Coturnix japonica: one gene and its partners. The protein of the gene in region 1 interacts with the protein of each later gene in a pairwise test. Links are inferred from orthologs where the notes say so. Each region holds a gene or a part of one and is shown in the gene's direction. Other genes may lie near its edges.

Region 1 (2,869 bases):
AATATGGTGTAGTTTTCTTAATGTCTGAGTGCAATTACGGCTACGGACTATAAAATAATTTGCTGGTGTAATTTTTCAATTTTTGCTAACGTTATTAAAAGGGTAAAGCATTTATTTAGGCAGGGCTTGATTATTTCCAGCGCTGGTCTATGAGTACAACAGGAACAAATAATTTCAGGGAGATGCAAAGCATCAGGATTTGGGTCAGTGGGACAACTAATGAAGAGCTGCCTGTCATACCTTTGTGTGGAGAAAATTAGATGCAAGCTGGTGGCTGTAAAGACATTACATCATTTTGTTTGGATTCACCTTGGTGGTGTGTTCTCGAATAACGATATTTATAAAGGAATGGGGGACCTGAGACTTGTGCGATTTAATTAGAAGTGATGAAGAACATTGAATGTATGCTGACAAGCATTAGTTGTAATTCTTTTTGATTCTGGAAGTGATTGTGTGGTTCATCTGCTGTGGGGAACTCACGTTTTAGATGTGAATCATGAGACAGGATCAGTGAGTTGTTAGAAGTCTTTATTGGAATATGAAGAACAGTTTCCATTAGCTGAGAAAGCTGTGTATTGTATTTGCAAACTACTCAGTCGTGCCATGGTTTGTTCATGTCTGTCATTCTGTGTCCTACACAGGGTTTTATAATGGTTTTAGGCACTTGTGTAACACACGTTGTTCGTGAATGTACATTTTAAAAGTAGAGCTAAGGATGAATATTTTGTCAAAGCCTGTAATGAAAAGGTGTCAAAAAGGGGATTTAAAATCTTCACCCGTGGGTGTTTTCATAGAATCATAGAATGACAAGGTTGGAAAGGACCTACAAGATCATCTAGTCCAACCATCCTCCCTTTACCATACCTACAGAGAACCTCTAAACCATATCTCATAGCTCCTCATCCAGACGCTTCTTGAACATTGCCAGGGATGGTGACTCCACCATCTCCCTGGGCAGCCATTCCAGTGCCTGACCACTCTGAGAGAACTAAACCGAGTGAGGCCCTGAGCAATCTGCTGGATTCAAAGGCACAGCCAGCTTTAACATCGCCCCGACTTTAAAAGGAGTTGAGAGGCTGTAGAGCAGATGAAATCCAGAAATCCCTTCCAACCAATTCTACTGCTCTATTGTATAGGTTGAAAACATGCACCTGCTTCTGTGGTTCTGTCCCTCTCTTGTCAAGTACATTGCTGTGTGGTGGGCTTTTTTGAGGGCCCTGTGGGATCTGCTGAGGGGTAAAAACACATTTGATGGTGACAAAGTGTAGGGCAAGTCACAGCACTCTCATTGTATGTGTATGAAGCAGAGTGGATGTATGCAAGAACCATGCACCTCATACTGTCAAAAATCAGGATTTGTAATGATTCTGTTAAGTTGTTCTTACTGGGGGGTACTGACTGGCTTTTATCCTGTATCTTATAGTAGGAGGAAAAAAAACCTCAGTCATAAAGGTATAGAAAATGTAAGTAATGACTCATCTCTTACAGAATCTGTCATGACCCATCTTCTAAATGACCTGCTTTTGTGCAAAAGCTTTCGTAGTAGCCTCACAAGAAGTATTTGCGTTATTCCCCATTGATATATTACAGCAGAAGAGTACGTAAGGAATATCCTGCTGTGTTCTTCAGCTCAACTCTTAAATGAAGTACAAGGTAAGGAATGTCAGAAAACTAAACAACGGAAGGATGAGAAGGGAAGGATGACAAGCTACCACAGCTGAATCAAGGGTGTGTATAAAGCTGCCTTAGCAAATGCTGCATTCCCCAAAGTGTATTTAAACAAATTATGTCACTGTAGCGTTCTGTTGGCGTGAATAAAACCTCGCTGTCGCCTGGATACTCACAACACCATCCTGTCACTAAGCCTCAGTATGTGTGTTTGGTGTGTAAATCACTGCCTCTAATACACAGGCTTATGCAACACGCGTTTGGGGTGCACTATTAGTGTGTGATTATACCCCCAGCATCTGGGAAGCTGGTTGGGCTCAATCCATCCATTATGTTCTTTGCTCTCAGCTGGTGCCCCAACCCCCTGTGTGGTTTCCAGCTGGTTTCAAAGAATATCTATTTGATACAGCTGATGTTTCAAGATAGTCAGAAATTGATTTCACCCATGCCTTAGAAAAATAAAGTTATTACTTATTTCTCAGCTAAAGGAAGGTTTCATTGCTGAGAAATGGCATTACAAAGTGCTTTCCATTTTGTTTTTCCCTGCCCAGCCCTATGTGACAAGCAAAGCCCCGAACGATGGCTCTAGGGATGATGCTTTGGTAATAGAACCATAGTGTTGCTGTTGGGTGGAAGCCCTCCAACAGCAGCAGTGAGTGCAGAGGGCTTTGCAACCTTTCTGGGCAGCTCCTGGCTGGGAAGCCAAGGTTTTGACACTGCTGCTGCTTGGGGCTTCGGGGCCTGTGGCTGCTGCTCCATAAGGGCAATCAGCTGTAGCAGCTGCCCTCCTCTTCACCACGTGCGTTGCTGCAAGGAACCGTGGTTTGATCGGACATCACGTAATCCGCGTGGACTGAGATGCTGCCATCAGTCGCGTTGATTACATTCAGCCTTCCTCTCACCACTCCTGCCTGGGAGAGGCGAGGGGTCACGCCTTATAGCGAGGCTGTTGTTACACGCGAGGAGGCAGAGCGAGATGAGTAAAACCCAATTCCAAAAGCTGTTCTCCTGTCGTTCCTCACCGCCGGGCAGCGAGCAGGCAACAGCTCCCGGTGCGGCGTCGGGCCGGGCCGGGCTGCCGATAGGGGGCGGGTCAGGGCCAGGGGAAAACGGGAGGCAAGGAGAGGTAAAGCGCTGCGGGGCTGCGCTCGGAGGAGGTGAAAGGCAGCAGCAGCAGCTCGGCGTGTGACAGACAGCTGCC
Region 2 (3,114 bases), on another chromosome or scaffold:
GCTTGTTAGTTTGATGTGAAGAAGCCCTGGTGGCAAATTTTGCACAGACTTGAGATGTTTAACTGAAAAAGAAAACTCCCTCTTTTCCTAACTTCCCCATTTTTTCTCTTAGACCAAAAGAGTGCCACTGGAACTCAACTCAAGACTGGAAGAAATGGGAGAACTGAGCGAAGTGGAGGCAGAACCCAGTGAAGCAGAAGATTTTGAGGCCAGGGGAAGTCGCTTTTCCAAGTCAGCTGATGAGAGGCAGCGCATGTTGGTTCAGCGGAAGGAGGACTTGTTGCAGCAAGCTCGAAAGTATGTTCCTTCCTACAGCTGCAGCCTGGCCACTCGGTTTTAATCTCCCAGAATGGCTGTTACATGGATTATGACTGAAAGACTGGGGTGGTGCAAAGAGTATTAGGAGGGATGAATACATTGCTGCAACACGCTCAGGTGCTCTTTAAGACAGACCTGTGCCTCTGATAAACCCAGTTCTGAAACAGCGTCTTGTGTTGCAGCGTGCACACAGCCTCTCAATTGGTGGATCAGAGCTCATAGGGTGATTTTTCCAGCTTCAGTGAGCTTTAGATTCAGCTTCTAGTAAGTGAGGAAATACTGCTTGTGCTGAGACTCCTAGTACACTTCTAGCCAACCTGCCTGCCTGGGTGTCAGCCTGTGCTGTGTGCTGCTGCAGCTGAGCTCACTGTCGGTCACCACTTTCCAAATACAGAACAAGAGCAGGTATTGAGCTGCGTAGGGCTGACAGACCAGAAGAGCTTCTGATGAGCAGGTCAGCACTGCCAAAGTGAGCGTGGCCAACTCTTACTCCCAGCTCAACTAGTATTGAATGTAGATATGGCACTTTGCAGCCCCAGTGCCCACCTGTCAGCGCCTTCCCTGTCCTCATGGAGGGAGCTGCAGGTTCTGCCTGCACTTCAGCATGGTGCAGTGGTGGGACCCAGTCAGTAACTCACCTCAGGTCTCAGAGTCTGAGTGCATCATTAGTGTGTCCATGCAAAGTATTTTCTAGCTTTGGATGCGCTTCAGCTCCTGCCTTGTTTCCTGAAAGCACCGACTGTTTTCTGGAGCCAAACAGATTGGGCTGCTCTCACTCATCTCCCTTTTCTCCTCTTGCAGGCGTTACTTGAACAAGACCTCAGATGAAGATCTGAGCACAGAGAAGCCCTCAGTGCCCGAGGGAACCTCCGCTGACCCAGTCACGCTGCGCCGCAGGACGCTGGCAGCCGCCGCCGAGCGGAGACTGCAGATGCAGCAGAACTCATAGCGCTCACTGCTCCTCCTTCCTCCTCCTCGTGAGCAATGTTGAATAAAAGAAATGAAACACAAAACCCCTGCATTTCTATACCAGCAGGAAAGTGTCACTTCAGAGTTGAGCGCTGCCGAGTGAGCTGGCTGCCGCTCTGCTGTATAAAGCATGTGGTCTAATCATGTTTGGACAGCTGACAAATTAACCTTTTTTGTAATGTTTTCTATGTGATGTTGATCCCCTCCACAGACAAAAGCAATCTGAACCACCAGTGCGATTTCTCTTTGCACGAGGCGTTGGCCTGACTGCACAACGGAAGCTGAGGGAGATGAGTTGGAATTGAGCAGCTGTGGGTGCAGGTCGGAGGGCATGGCTGCAAGAGGGGAAGGAAGCGCAGGGGTTGGCAGCAAACCCTGTGTTAGAGGAGCAGCTGCTCCCTGCTCACCTCCCGAGTGAAGGAGCTGCGTCGGTTGGCTGCGGTGCTGCTGGGAAGCCCGTTTGTAGGCGGGTGGAAGCTGTCTGGCAACGCAACATAGGAAAAAATGGAGTTGCTAATTGTGCAGTGCTGCTCTGATTCACAGCGATGCATACAGCACTTTGCTCACCGTTGCTGGGCTCTTGGCACTTGGCCTGTAGTTCTGCTCGCTCCCCAGGGCTGCGCTATCTTCCTTTTAGAGCCAGAAAGAAGTGAGAAGCGGGGAGGAGCAGAGTGGAGAATTGGGGGGGGCACAGGGGAGGCTGCAGCCCCCAGAATTCGGTGTTAAAAAGCTGATGGAGTCCCATTGAGGAGCCCACCTGTTTTGGACTGCGGAGCAGCACGGACTTGAAGGCTGGAGCTGGCTCTGATGTCTGATATCACGCTTTCTATGTCATTTTTAACCCCACAGCTCTGCCATTAGACAGAAGCACCGGGAGGGCAGGTGACCCTTGTGCACTGTGCAGCCCCATCTGCTCACCCGGCATCTTTCTAAGGGATTTCTGACCCCACGTACACCCGGAACCAGCACTGCTAAGCTTACAGAGTGGGATTTTACACAGCTGTGACTTGTTTAATTCCTGATGAGTGAATCCTTGTTCCGCCGCCCTTTAGAAGGAGCCCAGTATTATCTAGAATCATTGGTATCTGTTTTTTACTGTCGGTCTTTAGGGAGGTTTGAAGGTGGGTTTAAGGAAAGGCCTCGATGTTTAGGTGAGAGTAATTGATTGCAGTGAACCTTTCTGGGCAGCCTTACCTTGCGATGCTGTGTGTGAACTGCCAGGGGTTTTTCTTTTGAGATGATGGGGTTTGCTCAGAACCCGGCTGTTTGGTTTTACTGTTTAAAGAAATGAAATAAAATCTTGATCAGTGTTGGAAATTGTTTGCTGAGTCCTGTGTGTTCCTGTACGATGAGAATCCAAGTGTGGCGTGAAGGGGGAGATGGAAGAGGAACAATGTGTGGGGGGACTGGAAATAAAATGGGTTTGGGGCTGTTGGAGAGCCGGCTGGGGGGATGAGAGCTGATGGGTGTGGAGCGGGCAGAGCTTGGCTGGGGGGTGCGGAATCAGAATCACAGAGTGGTTTGAGTTGGATGGGACCTTGCAGGGTCTGCTCGCACTCCCTGCACTGAGCAGGGACACCCACAGCTCCAGCAGTGCATCCCCGCGCATCCCCGTCCCGCAGCGCAGCCGTTCCTGTGCCCCGAGCAGCCGCTGGGGGGCGGCCGTGCCCGCAGCTGGGCGCTCCCGCAGAGCCCGGCCGCGGTGATCGCGTGGGCTGAATCCCACCCTGAGCGAATTACGTGGAGGTGATAGAGACAGAAATGAGCCCTTGGGGTCCTCTAACGGGACAGTAATAGGGATGAGATGGAAATTAGGGAATAATAATC
Region 3 (4,220 bases), on another chromosome or scaffold:
TTTACTATATTTTTCTCCCACCAAAGACTCAAAACCAGACTAATTTTCCCTTAGCTACGACAGCAGGGTCAAAGGATGAAGTACATTCTGTGCAGTCTCCTTCCTGTCCTGCCTGATCCCTGCAGCTGTACAGAGCCACCAGGCTAATCCTGCTCAGCTCAAGCCAGAACTGATGTGCACCGAAGAGGGTGCACAGATGTGGAGCTGGCCCAGAAAGGTACCACTGTGTACAGCAAATAAAGTAAAAAAAAAACAGAGCAAGATACAAATTACACAAGATTCTGAGGACTGGTTACATGCAGCAAAGCTGCAGTTCTCAGATATACGTACACAACCATCATCAAAACTCGATAAGGAAGACCTAAGGCTGATCTTTACCAACCAACTTTCCTAGGACCTGGAAATGTAGTGAGCATCTCTGCAAAGAACAACACTGCTCTTTGCACAGGGAACACAGCACGATGCAGAACCTCTCCATGTGCGCCAATACCTGCACATTTGGGCTGATGGAGGAGTGGAAGAGGGCCCTAGGGAGACAAACAGCAGCAACTCTTGGGTGTTGTCCACCCCTTTGTTCCATAAAGACTTCTCAGACTCTAAAATTCCAGCTTCTTATACTGTGCTACCGTGTCTTGACTTCGGAACATACAATGGATTTTCAAAGCCCTAAAGGACTTCTCCATGCTTACGAGCGCTACCACCAGCTGCCCCACAGCTCACTCAAGGTACCAGCGGCCGCCAGGCCTTTCAGAAGGGCCGCATCCAGAGGTGCCGGGCACTTCCCTCACCGCAGCCTCTACAAGCACACACCGCGATCGCAGCAGCTCCCCAACACCGCGCGGGGCCTCGCTTCCCCCAGGGCAGAGCCTGCACCTGCCGAACGGGCGGCGGCAGCTCCCTCCCACCTCCTCGCCCGCAGCAGCGGCGCCGCTCCGTTCTCTCGGCCGCCGCCGTGAGGGAGGAGCTGCGGAGCGCAACGGCCGCTCCGTGTGAGCGAGAGCGGAGGCGCGAGGGCCCTTCCCGCCGCTCCCCGCTCAGTGACCGGAGCGGCCGTTGCCGAGGGCGCGGGGCCGGGCGCGGTGCTGACTGTCCCCCATCGGAGCCCTCCACGCGAGCGCGGCCCCTACCTGCCCCGCGCGCGGTGCCGGGCAGCAGTTAGGCGGCGGCAGCGAGAAGCGGCATAGGGAGGGAACCGGGCGAGGGGGCAGCGGAGCCTCGCGGGACCTTTAAGCCCCCGGAGGCGGCGGGACTACACTTCCCGGCGTGCCCGTCCGTCTCGACCGCCTCCCGGGCGCAGTCGCGCTGGGAAGAGGGCGGGGACGGGCGTCGCAGTCGCGCTCGGCCTTTACCTCACAGAGGCCCCGCCGCCTTTCAGCTCGGCACCGCGGCGGCTCGGGCCGCGCCGTGTGTGCGTAGCGCCCTCCGCGCGCCGCGTCCCGCCCGCCGAGGGAGGCGCGTGGCGGGGGGCGGCCTCGCTGCACGGCGCTGCTGTTATCCTGCTGTTATCCTGCTGTTATCCTGCTGTTATCCTGCTGTTATCCTGCTGTTATCCTGCTGTTATCCTGCTGTTATCCTGCTGTTATCCTGCTGTCATCCTGCTGTCTCCCTGCGTGACGCGCGGCCCCCCCCGCGCTGGGCCCCTTTGTCAGGCTGCGGGGCCTCGGCTAGGCCCGTGCCTTCCGCTGCCGTAACGATGTCGGAGCAGACGGGCCTGGCGCTGCCGCAGAGCATGGACAGGTACGGGAGGAGCGGCTCCGGGAGGCTCAGGCCGGCCGGGGGCGGTAGCGTGTCTGTGGGCTTTTGATGTCCGGGTGCTGCGGGCCGCGTTGAGCTCGGCCGTACGTCAGCGTGGAGTGCGTGGCGGGGCTGGAGCGGGGAGAACGGCGCGGTGTGCGAGGGCTGCGGGATGTAACGCGGCCATGGGAAGCGTTTGGTGCGTTCCTGAAAGCCTTGAAAGGCGAGGTGTATTTAGCCGGGCCTGGTGGGCTTTGTTACTGGTTTTGTCGGCTTTGGAGGAGTCTGTAGTTTCTTTTTTTTTTTTTTTTTAATTGCTGCTAAGAAGTCCGACCTGTAAACCCCTCTGACTTAATTCTAGGGGAGAAAAGGCATTCGCTCTTTGTAAGCTTATTTCCTCTGTTTACGTTGATTTGCACACGAAGCACTTTCACCTTGTTCTGCTGAGAATTTGAGATTCCCACTGAGGCGCATTGAGTCATCCAGGAAGCTCTTGAGACCTGCACGTATAGGCGACACAACAACCGGGCTGTTAGTGCCGGGGGTGTGACTGCCTGCTGCTTCTGAAGGTCGGAACCCATAAGGAATCTATCCTCTACTGATAAACGTATCGCACTTAAATCACAAAGAACTTGGAGGGGGAGGGGGGAAAATACAGCCTGTCGTCAGGCAGGTAATGGAGAGGCAAACTCTGGGAGGCAAGGGCAGAGCTTGCACTGCCTGGATAAGGAACTTCAGTCCAGTGTGGAAAATGACTAAAAGTCTGTTGTTGGAGGATTGAGGAAGAGGGAAAGCTTCTGATGTTTTAGAAAACCTGGGGAAGTGATGTTAAGGAGGCTAAGGGTCAGGAATTGGAAACGTTTTTGCAAGAAGTAACAGAAAGGAGATAAGTTTGTTGTTTTTTAAAGCACTACAAGGGAAGTATTCTGTTTTACTTCCTGTGAATGTCGACAATAGAGAGGAAAATGGTGAAGGATGGCAAGTGAGCAGGAGAAGATGGGAAAACTTGTGTAGAAAGGAAGAAGAATGAGGAGGATCATGAAGAATGTTGCACATCTGAAACTAATTTTCATCTTCATCCTGAAGTTTGTGGTCTTCAGGTGATGATATGTAATATTTCATTATTTTGGATTCCTAAGAAATCATTATGTTCTGAATGGCTGCCCTGCTGTCTGTAGCTATTTTAACATAACATGAGGTTCTAATTCAGTGGGAAATGTCTGAGGTGGTATTTATTTGCGGTGCAAACAGTAAATTGATGTAATTAGATGACGCTGCCTAATAAAACTGAAGCTTTTCTTTTGTGCTTGTATCAGCATTTGGGAGTGTGACACACAAGAATCTAGAATCTTTTGTGATGTCTTTACAGTTTGTTTTCTTTTAAGGTTACATGTTTTAAATGTCCTTTTTTTCTTCTTCTTCCATGTTTCTTCTGTCCTAGAACAGATTTGAAGGTCTTCCCAATATTAGCAAAGCTTACTGTTAGTGCAAAAACTGTTAAATCCAAATTGTATGTAGAAAGTAGTGAAAGAAGTCATGCGAGGTTTAGGTGAGTGTTCATTAAAAAGGAAGCTGGTTAACTAGCAGCCAAACCAGTTCACTGTTCTTCAGTTGGATATGATGGGTATATGGGGTTTGATGCATGTTTAATGTGCTTGCGAACCACAGTTTCGCAAAGCTGGAAGGATGTGTATCTGGCCCTTTCAAAAGACTTCCTAGTAAATTTGGTATAAGAGTCGGTAATCTAAAATAATTGGAAGGTGTTCCTGGCTTGCTTAGCAACAAGGACAATAGGGGAAACGTTTGAAGTACTTAGGAAGCATAGAAGAAGGTAAGAAGAAAGACTGCAGCTTTCATGAAAGCTTGTTAGACTGAATATAGAAACAGCATTGTGGGAGACAGGAAATGGAGATGGTGAGAAGGTGCAAGTATTAAGGATTTGTCTTTAATTCAGGACTCAGGACAGTACAAGTAGAAGGATCTTGGAGCAAACAAGACTTCAAAATGCAGTCAGTGTAAGTTGTCTATTACATACTGGGGTTATGGAGAGTGGTTATATTACAAAAAAACTGTCTTGTTCCTTCATCTGATGTTTCTCGGGATCATACATAACTGCTTTTATGTTGTATGTAGTGATGACCAAGAAAAACCTTTCATCTGGAGACGTAACCTGTGAATGACTCCTTTGTAGGGATTCTGAAGGGCAGAAGTTCCTTTTCATTCATGCTGTTATCATTGATGCTAATGACAGGTAGCTATTGCCCTGGGTAGCAGTAACAAGTGCATATAGAAAAGCTTATGAGTTAATGTATTATCATTTCACACAGAGCACGTACTGTTAAATCAAATTGAAATCTCATAGTGAATGATGCAGAAAACAGCTTTTCAGTGAATAAAGCTGACTGGGAGGGAAAAAGGTTTTTTTTCTGATACCAAGGTGGTATCACTGAGAATTCGCAGAATGGTGAAGTACTCCTGTATCAGGA
Region 4 (3,516 bases), on another chromosome or scaffold:
TGCCTTGCTTGAGAAAATGGCTTGCTAGAGAAGTGAAAGGAATACAGGCAGAATAGAAGTGTTGACTGAACTCCATGGTGATTTGTGCAGTGGGTTTTGTTTGTTTTTGTTTTAGTCATTCCCTTTTCTTCACTGCTGAGTTACTGAAGTTTGAGTATGTTGTTTTTCCAAATTGGAAAATGGAGCTATTTGGTGTGTATAGGAGAGTCGGTGGTAAATATCCTGCAGTGAAATATCACTTTCCTAATTAAAGATAGTAATCTCTTAGCTTAAACTTCAAAGCATCATTGATTTGAGCATTCGGATTGGTATGACTAAATTAAGTAGAATGTCTGCAGGAAAAAAAAAATCACCCATTTCCTTAGGAATGGTACAGGCGTAGGATTTCCTTTTCTCAGGCTGCATTTCACTTGAGCTTTGTTAAATGTTACACAAAGCTGTGTTTATTCTTAGAGGGGACAAGGGAAGTAATATTCACAAGATAAATGTCCAAAGCAATCTCTGGACCTTAAAAGTTCAGAAATGATCCTCTGAAAACACTGCCACAAATTAATACTCAGAAGGACTTAATTCTTACAGGATTTTATCATCTTTGCTCTTCTATCACCATTCATAGATCTGCTGTTTCAGACTGCATAGGGGTAGTGTAGAATTCAGAGTGTCTTATATTTCTCTAACAAAGTAGTAACATTAGGTATAGCTACTGCATGACTGATGCTGTAGGGTTTCACAGTTTGTTGTTTTTTTTGTTAATAAAATACCAGTACTTAGTTCATAGGATTACATGTTAGACACTTTCCATTAAGTTATCTGGTAAAGTCTAAAATAGTGCTTCTAAATACCCTGCCATGCCACATTCACTAGACTTGTATTTCAGCATAACCAAAATGCTTTTTTGTTATTAAAAAAGGGGGAAAAAATGAAATAGCTTCTGAAACATTGAGGAGAAAAAATAGTAAATGTAAGGTTTGAGTCAGTACTTAAGGCGATGTGTTTTTAAGGTCTCGTTCAACTCTTGGACATTCAAGATCCCAGTGGGGACAAAGCTCTAGTACTCATGCTGCACGGCCTCAAGAACAGCGGAACCGCAGCAGGATTTCCACAGTCATACAGCCACTGAGACAGAACGCTGCAGAGGTAGTGGACCTTACGGTGGATGAAGATGGTAAGTCACATTGGTCTCTGAAGTCTCTTCCTTTTTTAGGAGCGAGATGATCAGTGGAGCATTAACACTTTAACTCCCAGTGTGCTACATGATGATATGATGCAGGATATCGGTAACCAAAAGTTATAAAACCATGACAAATGGAATAGGATAGAATTCTATTAACCCTGTTGTACCATTTAGCGGAAAAACTTTGTGTAATAGTAGTCCATAAAGAACTGAGCTAGTAAAGCACGCTCTATGCTTCTGAAATTGTAATGTTCTGTGGTTTCCTACCATTAAAATCCACTAAGTTTGGCATTCAAGCTTAGTGATGATGATAATTGTCAGAGCAATTTCCAGGCATTATCAAAAGCTGTGGAAGAAGTCTGAATCTGATGTGGTGGTGGTGGTTGTTTAGAAGGGAGTATGTATTAACTTTTAAAAGGAACTTTCATTTGTGACAGTTCCCTCTCTGAGTGTGTCAGAAGCCAGTGTCTTGCAACACGTATTTTTACTAGAAAAAAAGTGATCATCTTACTACGTCTTCTATTCTTAGGCATGTCATTACTCTGTCAGTAATAAGAAATTTCAAATATAGTCAAAAGCAGATTTTTTGAAACTGAATTTGAATTGCGCCTCAAAATATCTTTTAAAAAAAATGTAGCCTGTGCACAGACGTGTGGTCGAGAGCAGCATTTATCAAGTAGTGTATTTTCCCTCATCCTGTAAAATGTATTGACTGCTTAATGTGTATTGAGACTAGAAAAAAAGTTTATCTTGCTGGTGCCTGTAATACAGTGTGTCAAGAATGGCTGAAGCTTATAAGGCAGTTCAGTTAGTTTAGATGTTTTACAACCTTGCTTAGTTATCCAAAAGCTTTCCTGTGCTTTGTAGGCATTGGAAGGTGGTAAGGAGTCATAGAATAACGTAATCATAGAGTAGTTTGCCTGTTATTTATGAAAGACTTCAGGAAATATGTGAGCATATGTGCACACACAAGTTAAACAATTAACTTTTCGATTTTATACTCATTTTTATATTCTGACTTTCTCAGCACCTGGCAAGACTAGCATGTATTGTATGAATTTTAAACCTACAGATATCAATTTAAAAAAATCTTAACAACTTTGAAAGTTTACAGAACTTGAAAACTTTTCTTTTTCCTGCCAGAGCCAACAGTTGTGCCAACCACGTCAGCTAGAGTGGAGCCGCAGGTCGTGAGTTCTGCTTCCAGTAACAGTTCTAGTACGTCTACCTCAGAGCAGGCCTCTGATGCAGCTCCAAACGTCTCCACTAGCCAGCCCTCTGCAGCACCAGAGACAACTTCTAGTCTTCCCAATAGCAGCACTGCTGGTACTTCAGCTGGAGGTACAGAATAAGAGAGCTTTCTAAACTGGTTTATTACCTGCCAGGTACAAGGGCAGTAGAGGAGGTTAAACAGATAGCGGTGAAAAGTTAAGAGTGACTGTGAAAAGCGGAGAGGAAAAGAATCTGGAAAAGATGACTGATTTCATAGAAACACAGGATGTCAGCAGTTAGAAGGTACCTTGAAAGATCACCTAGTCCTGTCCTTCTGCTGGAGCAGGAACACCTAGATTGGGTCCAGGAATGCGTCCAGGCAGGTTTTGAATGTCTTCAGAGAAGGAGACCCCACAACCTGTCTGGGCACCCCATTCCAGTGTGACATTAATCTCACCATGAAGATATTTTTTCTCACATTTATGTGGAACCTTTTGTATTCCAGTCTGCACACATTGCCCCCTTGTCCTGTCATTGGATGTCACTGAGAAGAGCCTGGCTCCATCCTCCTGACACACATCCTTTACATATTTATAAACATTAATGAGGTCACCCCTCAGTCTCCTCCAAGCTACTCCCTTAATCCTCTTTGTGGGTTCTGGACTCTCTCAAGCAGTTCCTTCTTCTTGAACTGAGGGACCTAGAATGGGACACAGTATTCCAGATGTGGTCTAACCAAGGCAGTGTAGAGGGAGAGGAGAACCTTCTAGACCTACTGACTGCAGCCCTTCTAATGCACCACAGGATGCTATTGGCCTTCTTGGCCACAGGGGTGCAGTGCTGGCTTGTGGTCATCCTGCTCTCCACCAGGACCCCCCAGGTCACTTTCCTTTACCCTGCTCCTCCGACAGGTCATTCCCCAACCTATACTGGTATTTGGAATTTTTCTTTCCCAGATACAAGACTCTATGCTTGCCTTGTTAAATTTCATTAAATGTCCCCCTGTCCAACTCTCCAGACTGTCTAGGTCTTGCTGGATGGCAGCACAGCCTTCTGGCATGTCAGCCACTCCTCCCAGTTTTGTGTCATCAGCAAACTTGCTGACAGTGCACTCTATTCCCTCATCCAAG
Region 5 (3,955 bases), on another chromosome or scaffold:
GACACGCTGCGGTGAGCTCAGAGCTGGGAAGGCAATGATGCAGCCTCACAGCAGGGCTGGGTGCCAGCATAGCCCCGGGTATGATGCACCCACACTGTGATTCTTACACCCCAAAGGTACAAACACAGCCCTGAGTCAATGAGTGCAATGAGGTCTGAGCAGCAGGAGCCCGCCCTGCTCCAGGCAGCTGCTGTGCACAGCTGGGAGGGTGATGGTGGCATCGTGCCCACACCTCCAGCAAGTGTGGGGACAGCTGGGGGAAAGGGGGGGCTGCCAAAGAGGGGTCATACCCCACAACCCCGTATTGACCCCATAGAACCTATATGGGCCCCACAGACCCCATAGAGGCCCCACAACCCCATATGAGCCCCATAGACCCCATACAGGCCCCACAACCCCATACAGGCCCCACAACCCCATATGGGCCCCACAACCCCATACAGGCCCCACAACCCCATACAGGCCCCATAGACCCCATACAGGCCCCACAACCCCATACAGGCCCCACAACCCCATATGGGCCCCACAGATCCCATATGGGCCCCATAGACCCCATATGGGCCCCATAGACCCCATACAGGCCCCATAGACCCCATACAGGCCCCACAACCCCATATGGGCCCCATAGACCCCATACAGGCCCCACAACCCCATATGGGCCCCACAGAACCCATATAAGCCCCATAGACACCATTCCTTGCAACTCTTGGCCCTTCTGTGTGCCCCCCCCTCCTCTCCAACAGCAGCAGGGAAGGGGACACAGGTGCATGGGGCTTGCAAGGCCCCTCCCCATGGCATGGGGTGAGGAATGAATGGAGCACAGCACACCCAGCTCTGTGTCACCCCCCCCCCCCACCTACTGTGTCTTTTTTTTGCCTCCTGGTAAAGCAATAAGAAATCCAAACATTACCATAAATGCTCAAAGCATCTCGGTTCCGTCACGTGGGCACCGGCACACACCCAAAAACCCCTGAAACCAGGCAGGCAGGGAGGGAACGGACCTGAAAACAAGCAGGACAGACAGACAGATAGATAGACAGATAGACAGACACATGGCTTTGCTATGCAGTGCAAGGGGGCTGCATGGGGAAGGGGGGGGGCTACTTCAAGGGGCTGCCGCCATGTCCAGGCACTGCCCAGGGCCTTGCATGTCTTTCTTATGGATCATCTGCTCCACTTGCTCTGTCCTTCCTTAAAAAGCCTTGGGCACGATGCTGGGTGTTCCTCTGGCTGGCGTCACTGTACAGGCAGTGTCTCCTGGGGATGCCCAGCCTGGAAGCTGGCAGGAACTGCTGAACTACTCCATGGCCAAACCTTGGCCTTGGGATTATTCTGAGACCTGTACAGGATATGGAGCGAGCAGCACCGCCTTGACTAACCCTGTGTTGGACAACCAGAAAGCGCTGAGACCGGCACCAACTCATCACACTCATGACAGCTCCATGGGGGGGGGGGGCGGGCTGTTAATAGGGTGCTGGCCCTTTAAATCCGACCCAACCACCGAGTCCCCGCCCACGACAAGATGGCGGCGCCCATAGCAGTGCGGCCCAGCTGATGGCGGCCATGGAGCTGGTGCTGCTGCTGCTGCGCGGCCTACGCCTGGCGCTGGATCTTCTGCTCCTACTGCTGGATCTCAACTTCTTCCTCGTATCCTCGTTGGTCACAGCCTTAATCTGGTTATTCACCACCGCTTCCAGCCTCCCCGGAGCTGCCACAGCTGGGATATGGGCTTGTTGGAACGGGTTGTTAAATGGATTGTGTGGGTTGGTGCTGGGGGTCGTGCAGGGGGTGGGTGGGATGCTGAGGGGCTGCTGTAACGTTATGGAGGGGCTGAAGGTGTTGGGTCACCTGCTAACACACATGGGATTGAGGGGCAGGGAGATGCTGCAGAGAGGGGTGTGCAGCCTGCTGGGCTCGGGGCAGGCTGTATTGAGAGAGGCAGGGGAAGGGTTGGCCATTGGGATCAGTTTATTGGCATATCTGGTTAATAGCGTGGTTAATTTGTGTTTGCTGGGCACGCAGAATTTGTTCACGTTGCTGTTGGCTCTATGGGATGCGGTGACCAGCCCGGTGTTGCGTGTTGGTGAGTTGTTGGCTGCCTTCCTGGCACATGTTTCTAGTAGTGCTATTGCTGTATCCATCTTGCTCTGGTCTCCCTGTCAACTGGCTTTTGAGCTGCTGGTCTCCACCACCGAGCTGCTCATCGGCATCTTCTTTGTCAACGTCTATGGGTTGGCTTTGCTCGTCGCCATCATTGTGGTCAGCGCTGTTATCTTCAACCCCGGGCTGCTCCTGACGTTTCTGGGCCATGTGTTTGGCTACTTCCATACGCTGCCTGCGTATCCCCGGCTGCAGCAGGAGGTGTGGAGGCTGTACCAGCTGGCTGTCCTGATGATGGGCATGGCCATGACCTCGCAGACGTGGCGCAGGTTGGTGGACTGGAGCCTGCAGGTGACCAACTGGAGCCGAGGGGGCAGAACGATGAACAGAGAGAGCGAGAGACGAGGGGCGGCTCAGGTGCTGGGCAGGTTGATGCTGGAAGAGGACAACCATGCTGCAGCACAGCAGGACGAACAGCCAGATGCAGAGCAGGTCCCGCAGGCACATCCAGCTCTGAATCGAAGCGCTGTGTCTGGGCAGCGTCTCCAGGCATCCAGGGATGAGCCGAGCACCTCCTGGGGGAAAGCACCAAGGAGAGAGCAGCTGAATGCAACAGCTGGGGATGGAGCAGGAGCTCCGGACAACGACCCCTGGATGCTTCTGAAAGAACAAGAGGAACGTAAGAAATGCGTCATCTGTCAAGATCAAACCAAGACAGTCCTGCTTCTGCCCTGCAGGCACCTGTGCCTGTGCCAGGAGTGCACAGAAGTCCTCCTGCAGCAGGCGATCTACCAACGCAACTGCCCGCTGTGCCGCCAGATGATCCTCCAGACGCTCAACGTGTACTTGTGAACTGTGGGGGTGGGTAATACGGGTTGTTTTACAGGTGATTGAAGACGCCTCTGCCTCATGCTGGAGTGCAGGATGGCTCTTCCCAGGGCTGTCCTGAGTTGTTTCCAAAGAACTAAGGATGGTGCTGAAGGACCAAGGGGCTGTCAGAGGTGTCTGTCAGCCATGTTAAGTGTACAACTAGGCTGTAGCTCCTGCTAACAAGCACAGCAGCTGATCTCTGCAGCAGGCTGAAAGGTTGGGGTTTTTTGTTTCTGTATTTGACAACTTCTGCTTCAAGGCCTGTTGCCTTGATCTGAAACAAAGCACAGATCTGGTTCCTCCTAGCCAAAACTGATGGAAGGATAAAGGCTGTGCTGCCTTGGGAATTACTGGGACTGGTGCAAGGCAAAGGAGTGTTTTGCTACCAAGGCTTGGCCAAAAAGTTACCTGGTGGACTGCATTTGCACTCTTTCTTCCTCCTGCCATTTAAGTGGGGCAGCTCGCAGGGCAAGGATTTGCATGCCCCTTTTGCAAGGCTCTAGCAAAGCACACTTGAGCTTTTTAGGCTTTTCTACCAAAGGGCTGAGCCCAGCTCTCAGCTGGAGGACAGCAGGGTTTCTGAGGCACCTTAATGTCCCAGCCACCACGGCTTTGGTGTCCCAGTTTTCCCTTGCCATTAGGAGCCACAATGAGCACGATCTCCCTGCAGAACAGCTGACTGCAGAGCTCAGTACTGCTGCTGCTTCCACACCTATGCAAGACCAGCAAGCACAAACCGTGTTACTTGCATGAAGGGAGTTTGTTACCTGCTGCCTGGGGAACCTGAGCAGCCCTCAGGCTCCCTAAGGCTGGAGAGCATTTGCTACATCCCAGGCTGGGCTGGCAGGAAGGGGTGGCTCTTTGGGAGACAAGGGGACACCCCAATCCTTCTTGAAGCCCACTGAGACATTCCAGCTCCAGACATAAGTACTACAGACCTTGTGTGCACGGGGCAGTACCAGGACCACAGCTATGTTTGTATAGG

Evidence for each region.
Region 2: the proteins of UBE2W (region 1) and AMFR interact in a two-hybrid assay, tested with the Homo sapiens proteins (2 studies listed by BioGRID and IntAct). The link is inferred for Coturnix japonica from reciprocal best matches to the Homo sapiens genes UBE2W and AMFR.
Region 3: the proteins of UBE2W (region 1) and MARCHF5 interact in binary tests that used the Homo sapiens proteins (3 or more experiments, as listed by UniProt). The link is inferred for Coturnix japonica from reciprocal best matches to the Homo sapiens genes UBE2W and MARCHF5.
Region 4: the proteins of UBE2W (region 1) and RNF111 interact in a two-hybrid assay, tested with the Homo sapiens proteins (2 studies listed by BioGRID and IntAct). The link is inferred for Coturnix japonica from reciprocal best matches to the Homo sapiens genes UBE2W and RNF111.
Region 5: the proteins of UBE2W (region 1) and RNF26 interact in a two-hybrid assay, tested with the Homo sapiens proteins (2 studies listed by BioGRID and IntAct). The link is inferred for Coturnix japonica from reciprocal best matches to the Homo sapiens genes UBE2W and RNF26.

What each region holds. Positions count from the first base shown.
Region 1 is NC_029517.1:106,911,479-106,914,347, reverse strand, and holds the end of UBE2W (ubiquitin-conjugating enzyme E2 W), read left to right. Parts: intron 1-1,488; coding exon of another isoform or gene 1,489-1,580; exon of another isoform or gene 1,581-1,584; intron 1,585-1,590; coding exon 1,591-1,721; 3' UTR 1,722-1,728; exon of another isoform or gene 1,729-1,848; intron 1,849-2,219; 3' UTR 2,220-2,360; downstream 2,361-2,869. UniProt on the Homo sapiens protein: Accepts ubiquitin from the E1 complex and catalyzes its covalent attachment to other proteins.
Region 2 is NC_029526.1:500,536-503,649, reverse strand, and holds the end of AMFR (E3 ubiquitin-protein ligase AMFR), read left to right. Parts: intron 1-112; coding exon 113-297; intron 298-1,119; coding exon 1,120-1,267; 3' UTR 1,268-2,607; downstream 2,608-3,114. UniProt on the Homo sapiens protein: E3 ubiquitin-protein ligase that mediates the polyubiquitination of lysine and cysteine residues on target proteins, such as CD3D, CYP3A4, CFTR, INSIG1, SOAT2/ACAT2 and APOB for proteasomal degradation.
Region 3 is NC_029521.1:18,091,748-18,095,967, reverse strand, and holds the start of MARCHF5 (E3 ubiquitin-protein ligase MARCH5), read left to right. Parts: upstream 1-1,416; 5' UTR 1,417-1,515; exon of another isoform or gene 1,516-1,592; 5' UTR 1,593-1,693; coding exon 1,694-1,737; intron 1,738-3,723; exon of another isoform or gene 3,724-3,738; coding exon of another isoform or gene 3,739-3,749; intron 3,750-4,220. UniProt on the Homo sapiens protein: Mitochondrial E3 ubiquitin-protein ligase that plays a crucial role in the control of mitochondrial morphology by acting as a positive regulator of mitochondrial fission and as an important regulator of immune response.
Region 4 is NC_029525.1:5,847,858-5,851,373, reverse strand, and holds part of RNF111 (E3 ubiquitin-protein ligase Arkadia), read left to right. Parts: intron 1-1,001; coding exon 1,002-1,165; intron 1,166-2,317; coding exon 2,318-2,515; intron 2,516-3,516. UniProt on the Homo sapiens protein: E3 ubiquitin-protein ligase. Required for mesoderm patterning during embryonic development. Acts as an enhancer of the transcriptional responses of the SMAD2/SMAD3 effectors, which are activated downstream of BMP.
Region 5 is NC_029539.1:3,580,201-3,584,155, reverse strand, and holds the start of RNF26 (E3 ubiquitin-protein ligase RNF26), read left to right. Parts: upstream 1-1,139; 5' UTR 1,140-1,554; coding exon 1,555-2,952; 3' UTR 2,953-3,955. UniProt on the Homo sapiens protein: E3 ubiquitin-protein ligase that plays a key role in endosome organization by retaining vesicles in the perinuclear cloud.